4 linked regions of the Cricetulus griseus genome follow. The protein of the gene in region 4 purifies or fractionates together with the protein of the main gene of each other region. This does not show direct contact. Links are inferred from orthologs where the notes say so. Each region holds a gene or a part of one and is shown on either strand. Other genes may lie near its edges. The genes, in order: Lgals1, Plxnb1, Gab1 and Met.

Evidence for each region.
Region 1: the proteins of Met (region 4) and Lgals1 purify together in Homo sapiens (affinity purification with mass spectrometry; 3 studies listed by BioGRID and IntAct, with this or other methods). This does not show direct contact. The link is inferred for Cricetulus griseus from reciprocal best matches to the Homo sapiens genes MET and LGALS1.
Region 2: the proteins of Met (region 4) and Plxnb1 purify together in Homo sapiens (co-immunoprecipitation; 3 studies listed by IntAct). This does not show direct contact. The link is inferred for Cricetulus griseus from reciprocal best matches to the Homo sapiens genes MET and PLXNB1.
Region 3: the proteins of Met (region 4) and Gab1 purify together in Homo sapiens (affinity purification with western blotting; 3 studies listed by BioGRID and IntAct, with this or other methods). This does not show direct contact. The link is inferred for Cricetulus griseus from reciprocal best matches to the Homo sapiens genes MET and GAB1.

The regions. Positions count from the first base shown.
Region 1 is NC_048595.1:376,034,543-376,038,864, reverse strand, and holds the start of Lgals1 (galectin-1), read right to left. Parts: upstream 2,856-4,322; 5' UTR 2,709-2,855; coding exon 2,700-2,708; intron 1,525-2,699; coding exon 1,445-1,524; intron 207-1,444; coding exon 35-206; intron 1-34. UniProt on the Homo sapiens protein: Lectin that binds beta-galactoside and a wide array of complex carbohydrates. Plays a role in regulating apoptosis, cell proliferation and cell differentiation. Inhibits CD45 protein phosphatase activity and therefore the dephosphorylation of Lyn kinase.
Region 2 is NC_048597.1:217,226,763-217,230,324, reverse strand, and holds part of Plxnb1 (plexin-B1), read right to left. Parts: intron 3,354-3,562; coding exon 3,250-3,353; intron 3,170-3,249; coding exon 3,085-3,169; intron 2,872-3,084; coding exon 2,699-2,871; intron 2,594-2,698; coding exon 2,433-2,593; intron 2,342-2,432; coding exon 2,194-2,341; intron 1,385-2,193; coding exon 1,320-1,384; intron 1,219-1,319; coding exon 1,143-1,218; intron 135-1,142; coding exon 60-134; intron 1-59. UniProt on the Homo sapiens protein: Receptor for SEMA4D. Plays a role in GABAergic synapse development. Mediates SEMA4A- and SEMA4D-dependent inhibitory synapse development. Plays a role in RHOA activation and subsequent changes of the actin cytoskeleton.
Region 3 is NC_048596.1:156,648,610-156,652,723, forward strand, and holds the start of Gab1 (GRB2-associated-binding protein 1), read right to left. Parts: upstream 2,846-4,114; 5' UTR 1,976-2,845; coding exon 1,904-1,975; intron 1-1,903. UniProt on the Homo sapiens protein: Adapter protein that plays a role in intracellular signaling cascades triggered by activated receptor-type kinases. Plays a role in FGFR1 signaling. Probably involved in signaling by the epidermal growth factor receptor (EGFR) and the insulin receptor (INSR).
Region 4 is NW_023276806.1:208,978,536-208,982,029, forward strand, and holds the end of Met (hepatocyte growth factor receptor), read right to left. Parts: intron 3,095-3,494; coding exon 2,958-3,094; intron 2,855-2,957; coding exon 2,644-2,854; 3' UTR 525-2,643; downstream 1-524. UniProt on the Homo sapiens protein: Receptor tyrosine kinase that transduces signals from the extracellular matrix into the cytoplasm by binding to hepatocyte growth factor/HGF ligand. Regulates many physiological processes including proliferation, scattering, morphogenesis and survival.

The sequences.
Region 1 (4,322 bases), on a different chromosome or scaffold from region 4:
ACCCCAGGCCCTGCCCAGCCCCCATCCTGCCCACCTCCACAGTGCTTCCAGGCTGGAAGGGGAAGGCAGGCTCCCGGTGCTCAGTCCCCCAGGCTCCGTTATCCTTGCTGTTGCACACGATAGTGTTGGCGTCCCCATGGGCGTTGAAACGGGGGTTGAAGTGCAGGCACAGGTTGTTGCTGTCTTTCCCCAGGTTCAGCACAAAGCTAGGGAGTGACAGGTAGGCTTAAGACCATGTTGGCTGGCTCTAGACCCAAAGCTCACTGAGAAAAGGCAGCATCAGCAGCTGGCCTGTAATGTACCTTGTTGAAACTCAGCCAACAGGAAGGCCAGGAACCTGGGTTCTAATTCTGGCCTCAATATGTGAGTTGATCTCGACCCTACCATTTCTCTCTGAGCCAGTTTCTTTCCTGTCTGTACAATGGGGGGAGGGGGCCTGCGCTGAAGGGATCTCTCTCCCAGACATTAATTGGTGTCAGCTCTTTGGTCAAGGGGGAGACTCTCCGATGTCCTCCTGTCTGTCTTGTGTATCTGAGTCCTTGGTGCCTAGTACAGAGCAGAACACTGTGCAAATGTCCCATCATTGTGGAGTAAAAGTGCAAATAGTAGTATGGGATTTGATCTGTTACATGGGACCTGGTAGCAGTACTTGCCACCATGGTCTGGTAGGAAAAAAGAGGAGCAGGCCCAGGCACTCACTACCATCAGCCAGCTAGCTGCCTTGATAAATCTGGCCCCTGGCATTCTCCACACCACAACTTTCCCTCTGGCTTTATTAGGAAACCCAGACTCTTCCGGGTGTGGAGGTGCAGACTTTCAATCTCAGCACTGGGGAGGCAAAGACATGTGGGTCTCCGTGGAGGCTAGTCTGGTAGACATATAGTAAGTTCCATGCTAGCCAGGGCTACATAGTGAGACCCTGTCTCCCCACAAGGAAAAAAACAAAACAAAACAAAAAACAAAAAAAAAAAACGAGGCTTCCTGAGCTTGGGTGACTGGTCTAAGGTCACATGGTTGCCTAGAAAATAGGCGATGGGACTGTGAATGAGAGGGAAGCACTGAAAGAAAAGACTGAGCCGGCACACCCCACCCCACCCCACCCCCAGGCAGCAGGCACGTGGGTGATCCCTCCCTCATTGCCACATTACACATCCCAGGCAGAAGGGGAGGGGGTAAGCCGAGGTAGCTGTTGAGGCAGCAGCTGGTTTAGTTTAAGAACCTCCATCCGGGAGAGAGGGGGCGGGAGGGGAAGGGAGACCACGGTGAGGTCGACCAGACCCAGCTAGGAAGTGACTCACCCAGAAAACGGAGCTTCTGCAGCTGACTATTAACCCCCTGCGGGCTGGGGAGAGGAGCCCTGGCCCAGCCACGCCCATCCCCAGCTTCGGGACCCAAGGCCTGCTAACACCGCCCCTGCCACCACCATCGCTGGCTCCATTCTCACCTCTTGGCGTCAGGGGCCACCTCGCCCCGAACTTTGAGACACTCCCCAGGTTTGAGATTCAGGTTGCTTGCGACCAGACCCTGTGTAGAAAAGACCACCTAGCTGCATTTAGGGCCGAGTTCAAACATGGCCTGAGCTACCTGCAGAGGCCTGGGGTGTGTGCATGGGATCAGAGACACCCTGGGTATCCGGAGCAGCCCTAGGGGAAGCCCAGAGGTAGGGTGGGTGGGTAGGACAAGGTGTAAGTTCTAGTCTTGATTGTCCCAGCACGGTATGCTAATTTGAAACTTATGGACAGAGACAGAGCCTAGAAGATTCACTCAGTCAGCTTGGAGATTTTTTTTTTTTTTTTTTTTTTTTTTAACTTAGAGTGGAGGGGAAGATGGAGCGTGACCGAAGTTCTCATTTAGCGCCTCCGGGAGTGAAAAAGCAGCCCCGACCTCTCCAGTTCCCCTCAAGGCTCTGTCTACAGGCATTGGAGTGGAGAAGCTGAGGGGCAGCCCCCCTCCTCCCTCCCCCGCAGAAGAGTGCAGCTAGAGAGCAGCATCATGGATTTAGCAAACTAGAGGAGAACCCAGCAGATAGCTGGGTATTGCTGGGCACCTGCCTGGTGGGCAGACAGGAGTTAATTTGTGTGAGGAGCTTCTTTGACATTTGAACCCTGACAAATACACAGCCTGTATGTCTATTTGTGCAAATGCACGCAGTTCTCTAGGCCCCCGGCTGGCCGGCAGCCACGAACAGCCCCAGCCTGGCCTGGACGGCAGCTTCTCCTGGGCCCCGGAGGTTTTTAAGTTTTTCTGGAGCAGAGGGTGATCTACTGGGCCCTGGCTCTGTGACTGGGGACAGCTGCAGGGGGGGAGGGGTCAGGAGCCTCTAGAGTAGAGGAGAGGGAAGCAGTGAATGGCCTTGCCCAAATTGTCCCCCTGCCTCCCCTTTCCCCCTCCCCAGGTGGCCACACCCTTCCCACTCTTACTTCTCAGAAAACTGCGAAGTGCCCCAATATTGGACCTTCTAAGATGTAAGCATACTGTCGGAGCTCAGAGGAATCCAGGATACTCTTAACACAGAGAGGCTGAAGACTTTTGGGGACTATGCCACCCACCCCCATTTTACAGACGTGGATACTGAGGATCAGAGAAAACACCTGTCTAAGGCCGCACAGCTGGAACCAGGTCCCAAACTGGCCACTTTTCTATGCCCATCTGCTGCTGTTTAATCCCCTAGACCTTGCAGTAGAGGGTCTCGCACTCACACAGGCCATGACTGAAGCGAAGTGAAGGCGGCTGCACCACTTGTCTGAAGACTCCACCCGAGTGACGGGACCCCAAGCCCTCTCCGACCCTTTTAACAGGACCCAGACCCGGTGAGTCCCGCCCCTCCGGTAGGCTAGGCCAATTGATGTCAGGAACGGGGTGGGGGGGCACTAGAGGCGGAGTCAATGGATTATAAATCCAGTTTTAGAGCAGAGGTGACCAGTCAGAGAGAAGAGTGCCCCTCCTTAGTCCCTCCCTCAGGGTCCAAGCGCCGCCCCTTATTCTTCCCCATCTCTCTCCTCCCACTAAAAAAAGATTTGTGTGGTGGCAGAGATTGGGGGAGCCAGTGGAAAATAGTTTGAGGATGAGTTAGGCTCAAGAGTTGGCGGGAAGGGGCCTGGGGCCAGCAGGCAGAGAGCCCCTGGGGCTCAGTGCAGCTGGTGGGGGTATGTGTGTAGAGACTGAGGAAAATTAGAGCAGGGCTAAAAGAGGCTGCAGCCTGGCAGACCGGGGTGTGGCTCCGGCTGTGGCTCTGGATGTGGGCCTCTGTGGAGGGCTGAGAAGGACCACAAAGCCCAGGCCCCACCCGGGCTTTCCCCGGAAGCAGCGTACTGTGGCTGCAGCTCAGTGCTGCTCACTAGGGCTAAAGAAAGACTGGGCTGGGCGCCAGGCCTGACGCTGGTGTCCTTGGCTCATACCTTGGACTTCACCCCACTGCAGAGCCTGCAGAGACTTCTGGGTGCCCTGGCTCTGACATCCCTGGGCCTGAGAGGTAGCCTAAGGTGTGTCAGCTCTGCACCCTTGGTCTCATTCTCACTTTTGGAGACCAGACATGGCCATCCATTTAGCAGATACTTTCCTGAGCACCTACTATGTGTCTAGCCCTGGGCTGGCCTTGGAGGACTCAAAGTTGAGCCCCTCCCAGTCCCTACTCTCAGAATCCACGGTTTGGCTAGGATCTGACCATGAGTCTGATTAAATAAGGTTGTGTTGGTTATGGGGAAGGCAAAGACATAGATACCACTGTGGTGGGATGGAGACTGTGGGATGTAAAGCAGGGTGTTGAATGACCGGGCATTCTGACTGGGCAAAGGCTTTGTGATGAGAAGCCCAAGCCTGGGGAACAAGCTGATGAGTGTGTAGGAGAGAGATAGGAGTCAGGGATCATGAAGGGCCTTTCGGACCAGACAAAGGGTTTCATTGTTGTTTCGCCTGAGGGTCCTAGGGAGCTACAGATAATTATGGGGTGAAATGCGACTTAGGGAGGCTCACTGAGCAGAGTGGAGGGTTAAGTGGTAAAACAAGGCACTTCTGAAGCTGCTCCTGCCCAAAAGCCTGGACCCCTCCTTTGGGTCCAGAAGACTACTGACAGGATGAGTCTGCCCTCTCTCTGCATTTTCTTGGATCCATCTCCATACTTTGGCTCAGACTCCTGCTTGACTCAACCTTCCTGACCTACCTCATCCTCCTTCTAAGCCAAAGGCACGGAGACAAGTCACTGACCCAAATCTGCAGTCGTCTTGGATTCTAGAAAAAGCAAAGCCATACAGGACAGCCCCTCCCCCACAGGAGGTCAAGCGTCTGCACATGCAGGAGCAGGACTGGCCCTCTCCTGAGCAACT
Region 2 (3,562 bases), on a different chromosome or scaffold from region 4:
GAATGTGATGATTCTACTAGGCACTCCTAGAATGACTAACAGGTCCAGGGTGTGCTCACCTGGTCATAGTATTTGTTGATATACTTGTAGAGTTCGTGCAGAGCCACTCGCGCCCCAAGGTCACCAGAGTAGTTCTAGGGAAGAGGACAAATACAGGGTGAGAGAAATGAGAAGGAAGTGTGGGGGAGGGGCAGGATCCCAGAGAAGGGGACCTGAAAAAGAATGGGTCCTGGGGCTGGAGAGATGGCTCAGAGGTTAAGAGCACTGACTGCTCTTCCAGAGGTCCTGAGCTCAATTCCCAGCAACCACATGGTGGCTCACAACCATCCGTTATGAGATCTGGTGCCCTCTTCTGGTGTGCAGATAGACATGGAAGCAGAATATTATATGCATAATAAATAAAATCTTAAAAAAAAAAGGGGGTCCTGTGGTGGGAAGCAGGATCTCCATAGGGCAGGGACCCAAGGCAAAGTGTGACTGCAGCTCAGGACAGGCTAAGTCAAAGACCCCATGGAGGAAGAGAGTTTCCACTGGAGCCCTGCCAGCCTCTCCAGGCAGAACTGTAGATAGACTGGCTGGGAATGCAGCGTAACTTTGCTCTGATCTTACTCAAATGTTTCCTCACGGGGACATCAGACCCTCGCCCTCCTTCTCTGGACAGAATTGCTGATTCACTCTAAGTAACTCATGGAGCTCTCAGGGGGGATCAAATGTAGAAGTACACCCCCATGAAGGGCTTGACACAGCTGCTGTTGGCGATGTGGGTATCCTTGTAACTACTTGAGGAACACTGTCCATCGTTCCTAAAGTTCTCCTGTGTGCTGACAGTGCCATGAGCAACAGAACAGTGACAGTACGGGCAGGTAGACTGAAAAGGTCCAGAGCTGAATCCCATCCATTCAACAGACCCTACCTAACAAGGGCTTCAACAACACAAGCACCTGGCTAGATCAGATTAGATGACAGCTATCAAAACGAGACCCTGCTCACTCAGAGATGCTAGGAGGGCTGGCCTTTTTGAATACCATTGACATTGGAACACTCCTCCTGTATGGTGACAGTGTGTTCTCTCCCAGCCAGATCATAGGTATAGAGGTGACAGGGGCTTCTCTACAATTGAGACATTTGAAGGGGAGCCTTACCCGGGACAGCTCTGCTAGGACTGAGTTCATCTCTTGGTCACTGGCCGGGACGGTCTGTCTGATGTCTGCATAGTACCTGCCAGGGACAACAGATGCTACAATAAAGCCCACTTCCTTGTCCCATCAGGACCCACCTAGGGCCTCAACTGCATGCACACCCCCACGCCTCCCCAGTACCTTTCTACCATCTGTTTGTAACGGGGAATATCTCGAGCATACAGCAGCTTGTTGATGGGAGAGTCCTGGATACCAACAGAGAAGGAAAGAAGGGTCAAAGTTCAATAAGGTGATCAGCACCTGGGGTTCCCAGCAACATCACAGTTTTATAACTAAATAACCCACAATCCAGGACGCTCCCAGAAAACCAGGATTGTTGGTCACCGAAGCCTACTTCTTTGGGGTTTTTTCCTACATTGTGTGTGTATGGAAGTCAAGGGACAACTTGCAGGAGTTGGTTCTCTTCTTCCACCATATGGGCCCAAGAGATTGAACTCAGGGCCTCAGGCTTGGCAGTGGGTTCCATTATACCATTAAGGCCCTGGCCACTGGGAGCCCCATGTCAGAAGACTCTGGGCTCTGACTCCTGGGACATCTTCCTAGATGCTTCCTGTCACACCACTGACAAAAGACACCTCCAACACCCCAAGAAACCAAATCCGCCAGGCATCCATGACACCACTGGTGACACCTTGCAATTCCTCAGACTCATCCACAAGTGTGAGCTCATCATAGCCTGGGAGACTTCGCCTCACTCTTCAATACCCCACACCTGTATCTTTGCTGGCTTGAGCTGGCCACTGCTGGACCACAGGTTAGTGCAATGTGGACTCCCAAGCTCCAACCCGCCTGCAGGCAACTGCGACACTTCTCCTTGTTCCCAAGCCTACTGTGGCTACCTACCCACTTGCCCTAATGGTGAGCCCTCATCAAGTGGCACTGGTTACATAGGACTATGCAGTCATAGACTGTCACCACACTCCACTTTCCACACCCACACAGGCTACCTGGGTGACCCCATCCTCCCTTGTCATATCCCTCCCAGCCTGCTCACCCTGCCCAGTTTGTGGTCGGCCAGGGTGCAGGCATCCATGAAGGTCTGTGCAATGACGAGGAGCACTGCATCCATGTTGTCGGATGTCTGCACATCAAACACGAACTGTGGGTTTTTGATGATGTTGATCCAGAACCTCAGTGGCAGACTGCAGATTGGGGAGAAGGGGCCAGTAACTATGCTGGGAGGGAGGCAGGGGCCACACCCCCCCATACGTCCTGAGCCTGCTCCTCCCACACCTGTTGGTCTTCCAGATATGGATGGTGTCCTGATCGGAGATGCCATGCTGCTGAGCCTGTTCATCCAGCAAGTCAAAGAAGTACTTCACAGCCAGCGGCACGGGGCGGCTGGTGCCGAGAATCACCTGGAACAGGTCATCCACAAACTTCTGCAGTGTGCCCTGTGGGAAGAAAAGGAAGGAGACGGTAGCAGCAGCCACCTGTACAAGCCCCACACTGCCCCCACGTCCCCTGGGTAGCCCTTTTTTCTAAGAGCTCAGCCCCACCTTCATTGACAGCAGTCGCGTCAGGTAGATCTCAGGGATGGCCTTGGCTCGCTCACGCTCCCCACCCCGAAGGCTGCCCCTCCGTGGCCTGGGAGGCTCTGGCTCCTCGCTTGGCTTTACCAGGTGCCAGGGCCGGATGCCCCCCTCATCTACGTCCTCTAGCATTGGGGTCCCTGTGCCAAGATGTAAGAGTTTGGGTGCCCTCCATATGGTGTTGCCACCTCTCAGGAATCCAAGTCCAGTGAACTCCCCAGGAGTGGGAACACCTGGCTGAGGCTCCTCTGAGGAGGCACCAGGCTGCCCTCAGCCCGAAAGACCTTCCCTGCTACCCATGACTGGGCAACATACATGCAGAAAACCACAACAAGGAGGAGGTAGGTACTCACGTTCTCCAGGGACGTAATCCTGGTTTTCCCTAAGAACGTGCTTTGTAAGGCAGGGGACTAGGGCCACCGTTGCTCCATCTGGGACCTGCTAACCACAGCTGGTGATCCTCTAGTCAGTCTTAGTCCACCCTAGTCCATCCAGCCTCCAGCTCCCATCCCCCCCACCTTGTAATGCTGCAGGGTGTTGAGACGTCTCCACAGACCCTGAACCTCAGAAGTGACATCTTCATCAGAAAGAATGAGGTGCCCGGCCACTCCAGACCGCCATTCTGCAAGGACAAGAGAGGACTTGGTTGGAGGATTCTCTTCTTGCCATGCAGCTCATCTCATCCTAGATGGAGACATGGCCCCTCTACCTGGGGGTAGCGTCACCCATCCTCTCCAAAGAGCTAGAGAAGAACCCTCTCCCAGTGAAAGCCCATCTAATAAAGTTCCTGAGCCAGCTTTTGTAGCTACTCCCAACATCCCACCTGGCCCC
Region 3 (4,114 bases), on a different chromosome or scaffold from region 4:
CACTCCAATGGGAGAAAATTGCTGTTGTCAACAAATGACACATGTAAATATACATAATCATACACATATATATTCTCCCACACACTTCTGCTTATTGTTATCTATGTATTTATTATTAATATTTGTATTAGTAACAAACTTTATTTTGTTTTTGTGGTTTTGTTTTTGAGATACAGCCCTTGTTAGCCTAGAATTGCTATGTAGACCAGGCTAGCCTTAATCCTTCCATTTCTGTCTCCCAAGTACTGGGTGTTAGGAGCATATACCACCATGCCCAGTTTTTATTTTATTTTGGCCTTTGTTAAGACCATTCTTCCTACAAGGCTTTCCCCTTCTGTACTACCTTCCCTTGTGGCTGGTGCCTAGGACCGAGTTCAGCACCACTAGTGAGCCACAAACTAATGGGAAAGAGTGTGCTGAGTTTCTATTGCCATTATCAGCCATATATACTGTACTGTAGTTTCCCTGAGAATCCTAACGCCATCTTCCCTAAGCAGTGCGTCTCAAGCCTAGTATCTCCATCTCCCCACCCCTCCTCCTTCACACAATAGTCTCTTTACAACTAATTCTGAAGACACCACTACCACTCTCTAAAATTTTTGGAATCAAATTGCCATCTTTACCAAGAAATCCAGGAAAACGTGACAGGCATCTTTGGGGATCCTCCGACAATTTAACGAAGCACATCTTTCAATAAAACTGCTTGTCTGTAATATATTCTAGCAGAAAGTAAACCAGAAACTCGATGGTGAGCTCTGTGAAATAAATATTGCCCGTTTCATGCAAGCAAGCAGTGAGTAATCGGATTGACTAACTTGAGGTGGGTACTTGGTGTAGATTCCCTTCAACCAGAAACAGTTTCCATCAAAACCGGTTAAGGGGGTACGCTGTACGTTTTGCTTTAGGAAAACACGTTTACTCAAAAAATAATTGCTTCAGCTGCCAGGACAAAGTGTCATTTCTTCGCTGGCAGGGGACATCGTAAAATTAGTCGATCTGGAGTAAGATTTAAGATCCCAGACTCCTGAGTAGGACACAGACTTCCACTGCAGTAGTGTAGATTCCTTCAAGATACAGTTTTCTTGACAGAGAACACAGTTTAACACACAATCAGCATCTTGAGTCAATTACACAAATACCATTTAAGCCGTTCTGGTGCCCTGGAAAAGAATCACAACACCCAGAAATCCCTGCTGCCTTCAGCTGTCCCCTCTTGCGGGGCTTGACAGCGCGTCCGGGGAGCCCAAACATTAGCCACCATGCTCCCCCCAGCGCCCTCCGGTCGCATCAAACCGCCGGCGTTCTCGGGCCACACTCCAGTGTCCCTCAAAGCAAAACCGCGAAAATGTGAACCCTGCTAAGCAGACGGTAGGGCGCGTAAGAACTCCCCCCAACCCCCGCCCCAACACTTTCCCTTGTGTGAGTAGTTTTGAGAAGTTTGCCTATACGATCCACTTCTCGCGTCCACGATTCGCTTCCCTCAACCTCCTAGAGGCGCAGAGGGGGCGCGGACCCAAGGGAGAACTGATGATCACTACTAGCCCTCGGTGCCGGGAGATGTAAATAGCTCCATGTGAATCAGATGCAGATAATAAAAGAAGGCTCTTTCTTTCCGTTTTCACCCCACCCTTGCTCAGTGGAATTAACAACAACGAAAAGTATGCAGCCGGCTTGAGCCTGGGCCCCTCTAAGGGGCGGCGAGGCCTGCAGGGGAGGCGGTCTGCAACATGGAGGGAGAAAGTTTGGCCGCCAAGTGGACGCCAGGGTGCGAGTGGACCGCACCCGGTCCGAAGCCAGCTGGCCGAGAGAGGGATCGAGGAAGCGGAGGGCGGGATTCGTGGAAGAGCTCGGCGGCGAGCAGGCTGCTGCTGCCGTGGCCGGCGGTGCCCTGACCTGTACTTACATAACGCTTCAACTTCTTCTCCGGGGGGGACTTGCGGAGCCATCCCGAGCAGACCACTTCGCCGCCGCTCATGGTGCACGCCGTGAGGGCTCGAGGGCCAGACACCGGAGAGGTCGGTGGAGACAGTGGGCGCGCTCCCGGCACACACGAACCCGAGGAATTCGCCGATTCCCTCGACGGGGCGGCCGGGCTCCGCGCGCCCTGTGTTGGCGATCGAGTCTCTTCCGCAGACCCGCGGATCGAAGCAGAACCCGAGCGGGAGCCGCGGGGACCAGAGCTCACCCGCCTTCTTTCAGTGCACCCTCCCGGCCGCCAGGCGCGCCGTCCCGCCGCCTCGGCAGCGGTCGGGCTCAGCTGGGACTCAGCCGGGACACGGAGTCGGGAGCTCGGCGCCTGGCGCTCCGCCCCTTGGGGGGGACAGGACCTCCCGCGAGCGCTCCCTGCTGCGGACCCCACGCTGCACGCGCGCACACAATGCCCGCGCGCGGAGTCCGCTCCGCTCCGCCCGCTGGCGCTTTCAGCGAGCGGGGCGCGATCTTCTCCTTCCCTCTGCTCCGAGGAGGGCCCCCGGGAAGGCGTGTGGCTTCCCGGTGGCAGCGGACGCAGGGGCAAGTCCCGCTCCCGATCCGCTTAGGGAGTGCGAGCACCGGCGGCGAGGCGCGGGGCGTCGCCTGGCGTCGGGGAGGTCGCGGGTCCGCGGCGGGAGGGTGGGTCTGCGCTCCAGCCTCCGACGAGGGCGGGGATCAGCGCAGGGACGAGGCACAGGGCGGCTCTGCTCCGGGAAGGGACCCCTCGGTCCCGTCCCCTGCGCTCCTCCCCCACCCGGGGGCGCGCGGCGGGTTCGGGGAGGCGCGGCCCGGGGTGGGCCCTCCTTCTCCTGCCTTTCCGCCTCCCCTTCCCACGATCGGTCGCCTCCAGCTTCTGCCCAGACTTTCTCTGAAACTCCTCCGGAGCGCTTCCAGCCAAAACAAGGGCCGGGGAGGCGGGGCCGGTGCTGGGAGGGAGCGAGATGGCAGAGGCACCCTGGGATCTGTAGTCAGCGGCGCGCTGGGGTCCTCGCCGCCCTGCCGCCCCGGGCCCGCGCGCTGGGCAAGGCGGCGGTCTCCGGGAACGCAGCGCCACCTTGGCACGAGCGCGGGAGCGCCGGGCATGCTCGCCAGCTCCATCTGAGTTTGCCATCTTGACACTACCTGGTGTCAGCTAGGAGTTTGGAATGGGCTGTACCCTCGCGATCCGGAGTTTCGAGGGCTTTTCTCGACCTGACAGCCTGAAAAAATAACCCAGCCAAGGTACCGGTCGCGCGAGGCTAAAGGGCTTCCTCCCCAGGACCAGGAGCGCGCCCTGCTGTGCACCGGGAGACGGAGAGGGACTTCCAGGACGCCTAGGGCCTGACCCAGGAGCCGTTCTGCCCATTGCGATTCCTTAGCCTCAACAAAGCGTTCAGCAGCATGTAGTTCTGAGACACAATAAAGTCTCACACTACCTTCATTCGTGGGTTGTTTCTTTCAGTTGGCTTTGTATTTGCTTAAAACCTGCCCTAGGACGTTGGACAGGAAACAGAATCGTACTGGATGCCATAGTTCTATTTGCCTTCTGTGTGTTTTACTTATTATACCTGGGACGAGTTTGACACAGTCCTGTGGTAGAGCTCTTATTTATGCGTGTTATTTGGAACAAAGCCTTGGAACAAATTTTAAAAGGTAATATAGATAATCAGATATAAGTGCTGCAGAGCATGGTGTGGTGGCGCATGCCTTTAATCTCAGCACTCGGGAGGCAGAGGCAGGCGGATCTCTCTGAGTTCCAGGCCAGCCTAGTCTACAAAGTGAGTTCTAGGATAACCAGGACTACAAAGAGAGATCCAGTCTCAAAAAACAGAGGACTGTGTGAAAATATGAATTGATAAACCAGCATTTCTGAAAAGTATATAATACTTGGGACTCTCCTAATAAACAGTTCTAGCCCGGAGGTGGTGGTGCATGCCTTTAATCCCAGGAAGCAGGAGGCTGAGGCAGATGAATCTCAGTGAGTTGGAAGCCAGCCTGATCCACAGAGTGAGTTCCAGGACAGGCTCCAAAGCAATACAGAGAAGCCCTGTCTCGAAAAACCAAAACAAACAAACAAAAAAAACAGGAGTTCTGAGTTTGCAATGTTGTAGTTTGGAGAGAGGGAAAAGTGCCGAGAGCCTGGCATGGTGGCACACCTGCAGTC
Region 4 (3,494 bases):
AATCAAATTTCCCCAAAGTGCTACAAAATTTCTTAGATGACTGATACATCATCTTTGAGTTTCTTTATCATTTCAAGAATATAGATATAACCTGAATGGAGTTTCTCTGGTAAGTAAAGGGGGGTATTTTGAGGGGACAAAAAGGCATCTCTTTCCAACTGCCACTTGGGAATCCATCTTTCTGTCAACTGTGCATTGCAGCTCCTTTGTTACAGCTTCTGTCCCATGGATACTCATCTTGCTGAAGAAGACCCCAAGTTTTAACTTTAACAAAGCCAAGTACTCTAGCAGGGGAAAGGATGCCAGAAAATGCAGGGAATTAAGAACTCAGGACAAATCACCCGAAGCAAGATAGAGACTTCAGAGAGTCAGGCATGCAAATCAATGTAGCTATTGCCCATGCATTAAAGAATCAGCATCTGGTCTATGGAGAAGTGCCATGGAGCCAGGTGAAATCAATCTTAGGCTTCCTCTGTCATTATGTAAATGAGGTAGATAATCAAGCATGACTAGCTATAACCAACTCACAGTAGACAAGATGTTACGTCACTTTATTTTAACTGTATGATTTATCAGAACAATTATTAAAATACAAAGTACCATTCAGCTCAACTGCAGGTATAGGCAGTGACAAGTTTCTAATTCTGACAAGAATGATTTACTTGCACAATCTGTCCAGACACATTACCCTAGGAAGGTTCATAAATAGAAAACATGATTTTCACATTGCAGCGTTCTTGAGCATGTATATACAGGTCTGGGTGCCTTCCACAGCTCTTTCTGTTCTTGGTGGATTCGCTTTCTTGACCTCATAGAGACAGCTACTTCTTTCTACAGAGCAGATCACCGTTTTCTGCTGTCCGCTGGCAGTGCTCTGTGAACTGGTAAGCAGTACTATTTGATTTGAAATAAATCTGTACTACAGTTCCTTATGTGTTCTGATTATGTTCCACCACCATCAAAGACCTTTTGATTGCCATCATTTTCCTTCAGCAACAGCCAAATTCAACTATTGGGTTTCAGAAGAGCACACCCATGTCATAGTGTGCTCTATTAACCCTTGGCTTCAAGTCCTGATGATGTAATGAGGGTGGGGTGTACTGGCAATCAGTATGCTTCCTTATCACAATTTACAGCCATTTAGAAAAAAATCACGCTGCTGTCGATCCAACTCTCACATACCTCTTCTTAAACGTTCACAGTGCAGTATTTCTGTGGCCTAACAAAAATGTTCTTATAGCATTAAAAATAAACATTTCTATAAAAATATAATACTTTCAATGTTTACATTGACAAAACCAGCTAGAGTAGCCTAAGCCACATGCACTATACAGTAGTAAGCACAGAATTCCACAGAGCAAAACATGGCAAAAGTCCTGTCCAGAGAAACTATTCATTAAAGATTTTTCAAGTGGCTTTTTGTCTGTTTTGAAAATATGCTTTTATTTAGCCTAAACCACGTCCTAATGCAAAATGAGGCTCCCCAAAAGTGTTGCCTCCAATTGTTTTAGTGAGAAGCCTCCACCTGAGAAAGGGCAAATATTTCCAGTCCATTGACCCTTTCTTTGTCTACACACAAGCCATGACTGGAAATAGTGCACCTTTCAGTTTTATTGTCCTTTAAAAACATACTGAGTTGTCTTTAAAAAGATTTATCACCACAAGTTACTTATTTTCAGAGTTGCCATTTAAAAAACAGATAAAAAATTACGTGTCCACATTCACTAGAGCAGAACAAAATTTTTCTCAAATAGTTGAATTTTTGTTTGCTGAGATTGGGTCTCACACTCTTGCCCATTCTGGCCTCTAAACCATTATGTGGCCATGGTTGGTTTCGACCTTGTGGTGGTGTGTCTGCCTCAGCTTTCCAAATGCTGGGATTATAGGTGTGAGCCCTAGCTCCTGGCTAAACTGTTGAGATTTACATGATAAATATTTTACTGTAACAAAGTTTTTGTGTTTGTTTTTGAAAAAATCTTCCCATCATCATCTATGTACAATACACAAAATCCCTGAAAATTTATAAACACACCTCATGTCATGCTATCTTGAAAAATAAGTACATTGTCTGTGGATAGTCATCCAACCAAAGGAATGTGTATATAAAAGTTTAAAAGGGAATGTTTGCCTGATAGGTAGACAACATCAAAAATGGAAAATGTTCATGATCACCACACAACAGAATATGTTGAAAACACTGGAATTCCAACAGCAGCCTGCTGGGGCCACCATATTCATCTTGCAAGAGTCCATATCTTCTGAGTTTTCTATGAGAAATCTTCAAGGTTCACTGTATCACTTCCTCACCAAAAATCTGATTTTTAAAAACTTCAACCCAGAACTGAGGTTCTGAACTCCAATGAGATAGGAGTGTTCTCATAGCTGCAGGTTGTCATTGGCCCTCAGCTTGTGGGGACCATGCTTCTGTGTCTGATGCATGGGCAGGTGAGAAATTCCCCAGAATCCAGGAATTTAAATAGCAAATCAATGTCTCATAGTGGCGAAGTTTTGGCAAAAGCAACACAAAAACAAAACAATAACAGCAAAAACATTGGGTGACCTTTCAAAGGCCAGGCAGTGAGAACTGTCGGAGAAGTTATGGACCATTGTTTGCTAGAAGGGGGTTGATGGGCCTCCTATCCATCATGTGTTCACTTCACCATCAATGTTGTCTTGGGATGACAACAGGGAAGGATATGGAGCAACACATTTTACATTCACGTAAGTAGTGTTCACATGGACGTAGTGCTCCCCAATGAAAGTGGAGAAGATTGACGATATCCTGGACACCAGTTCAGAAAAGGATGGGCGCATTTCAGCTTTGGGGTGCCAGCATTTTAGCATCACTTCATACCTGTTTTTAGAAAGAAATGCTGTGAGAGACACAAGGGCAAGTGCTTCTGTAGAAGTCACATGTTTCAGATGTAAAGGAGGGCCCCACTGAGACTCTTACTTACAAGGCGTCTGGGCAGTATTCTGGTTGCAAGAGTCTTCTGCCTTGTAATAAGTAGATGGTGATATCAAATGTGTTCACATCAGGATACGGAGGCGCTCCTCTTGTCATGAGCTCCCAGAGAAGAACACCAAAGGACCACTGATAACACAAGATCGAGGAGAAGCCAAGTGAGGGAAGCAGAACCACACAGCCATGAAGGGAACAGCAGCAGGTCTCTGGAATTAACCCTGGCTTGACATATTTAACACCATTGCTATTTACGGCAGAAGTTTCCCTAAAGACAAACTAGTAAGCGCTATACATTTCATGGCCTGTTTAAACCAGAAGGAGATGAGATATACATTACAAGTAGTTACAGTTTTCAGAAAGAATATGTGAAATCTACACGATGATTAAGATTTAATCTGCAGGTGGTGGGGTACAGTTTTTGAGTTCTTTCTTGTAGGGTCAAAGTACCAACATGTTCCTACCTTTTCCTTCAATAGTTTTGCCACAACTTTGTATTTTTTATAGATGGTGGTCTCCCAGATATTAAAAT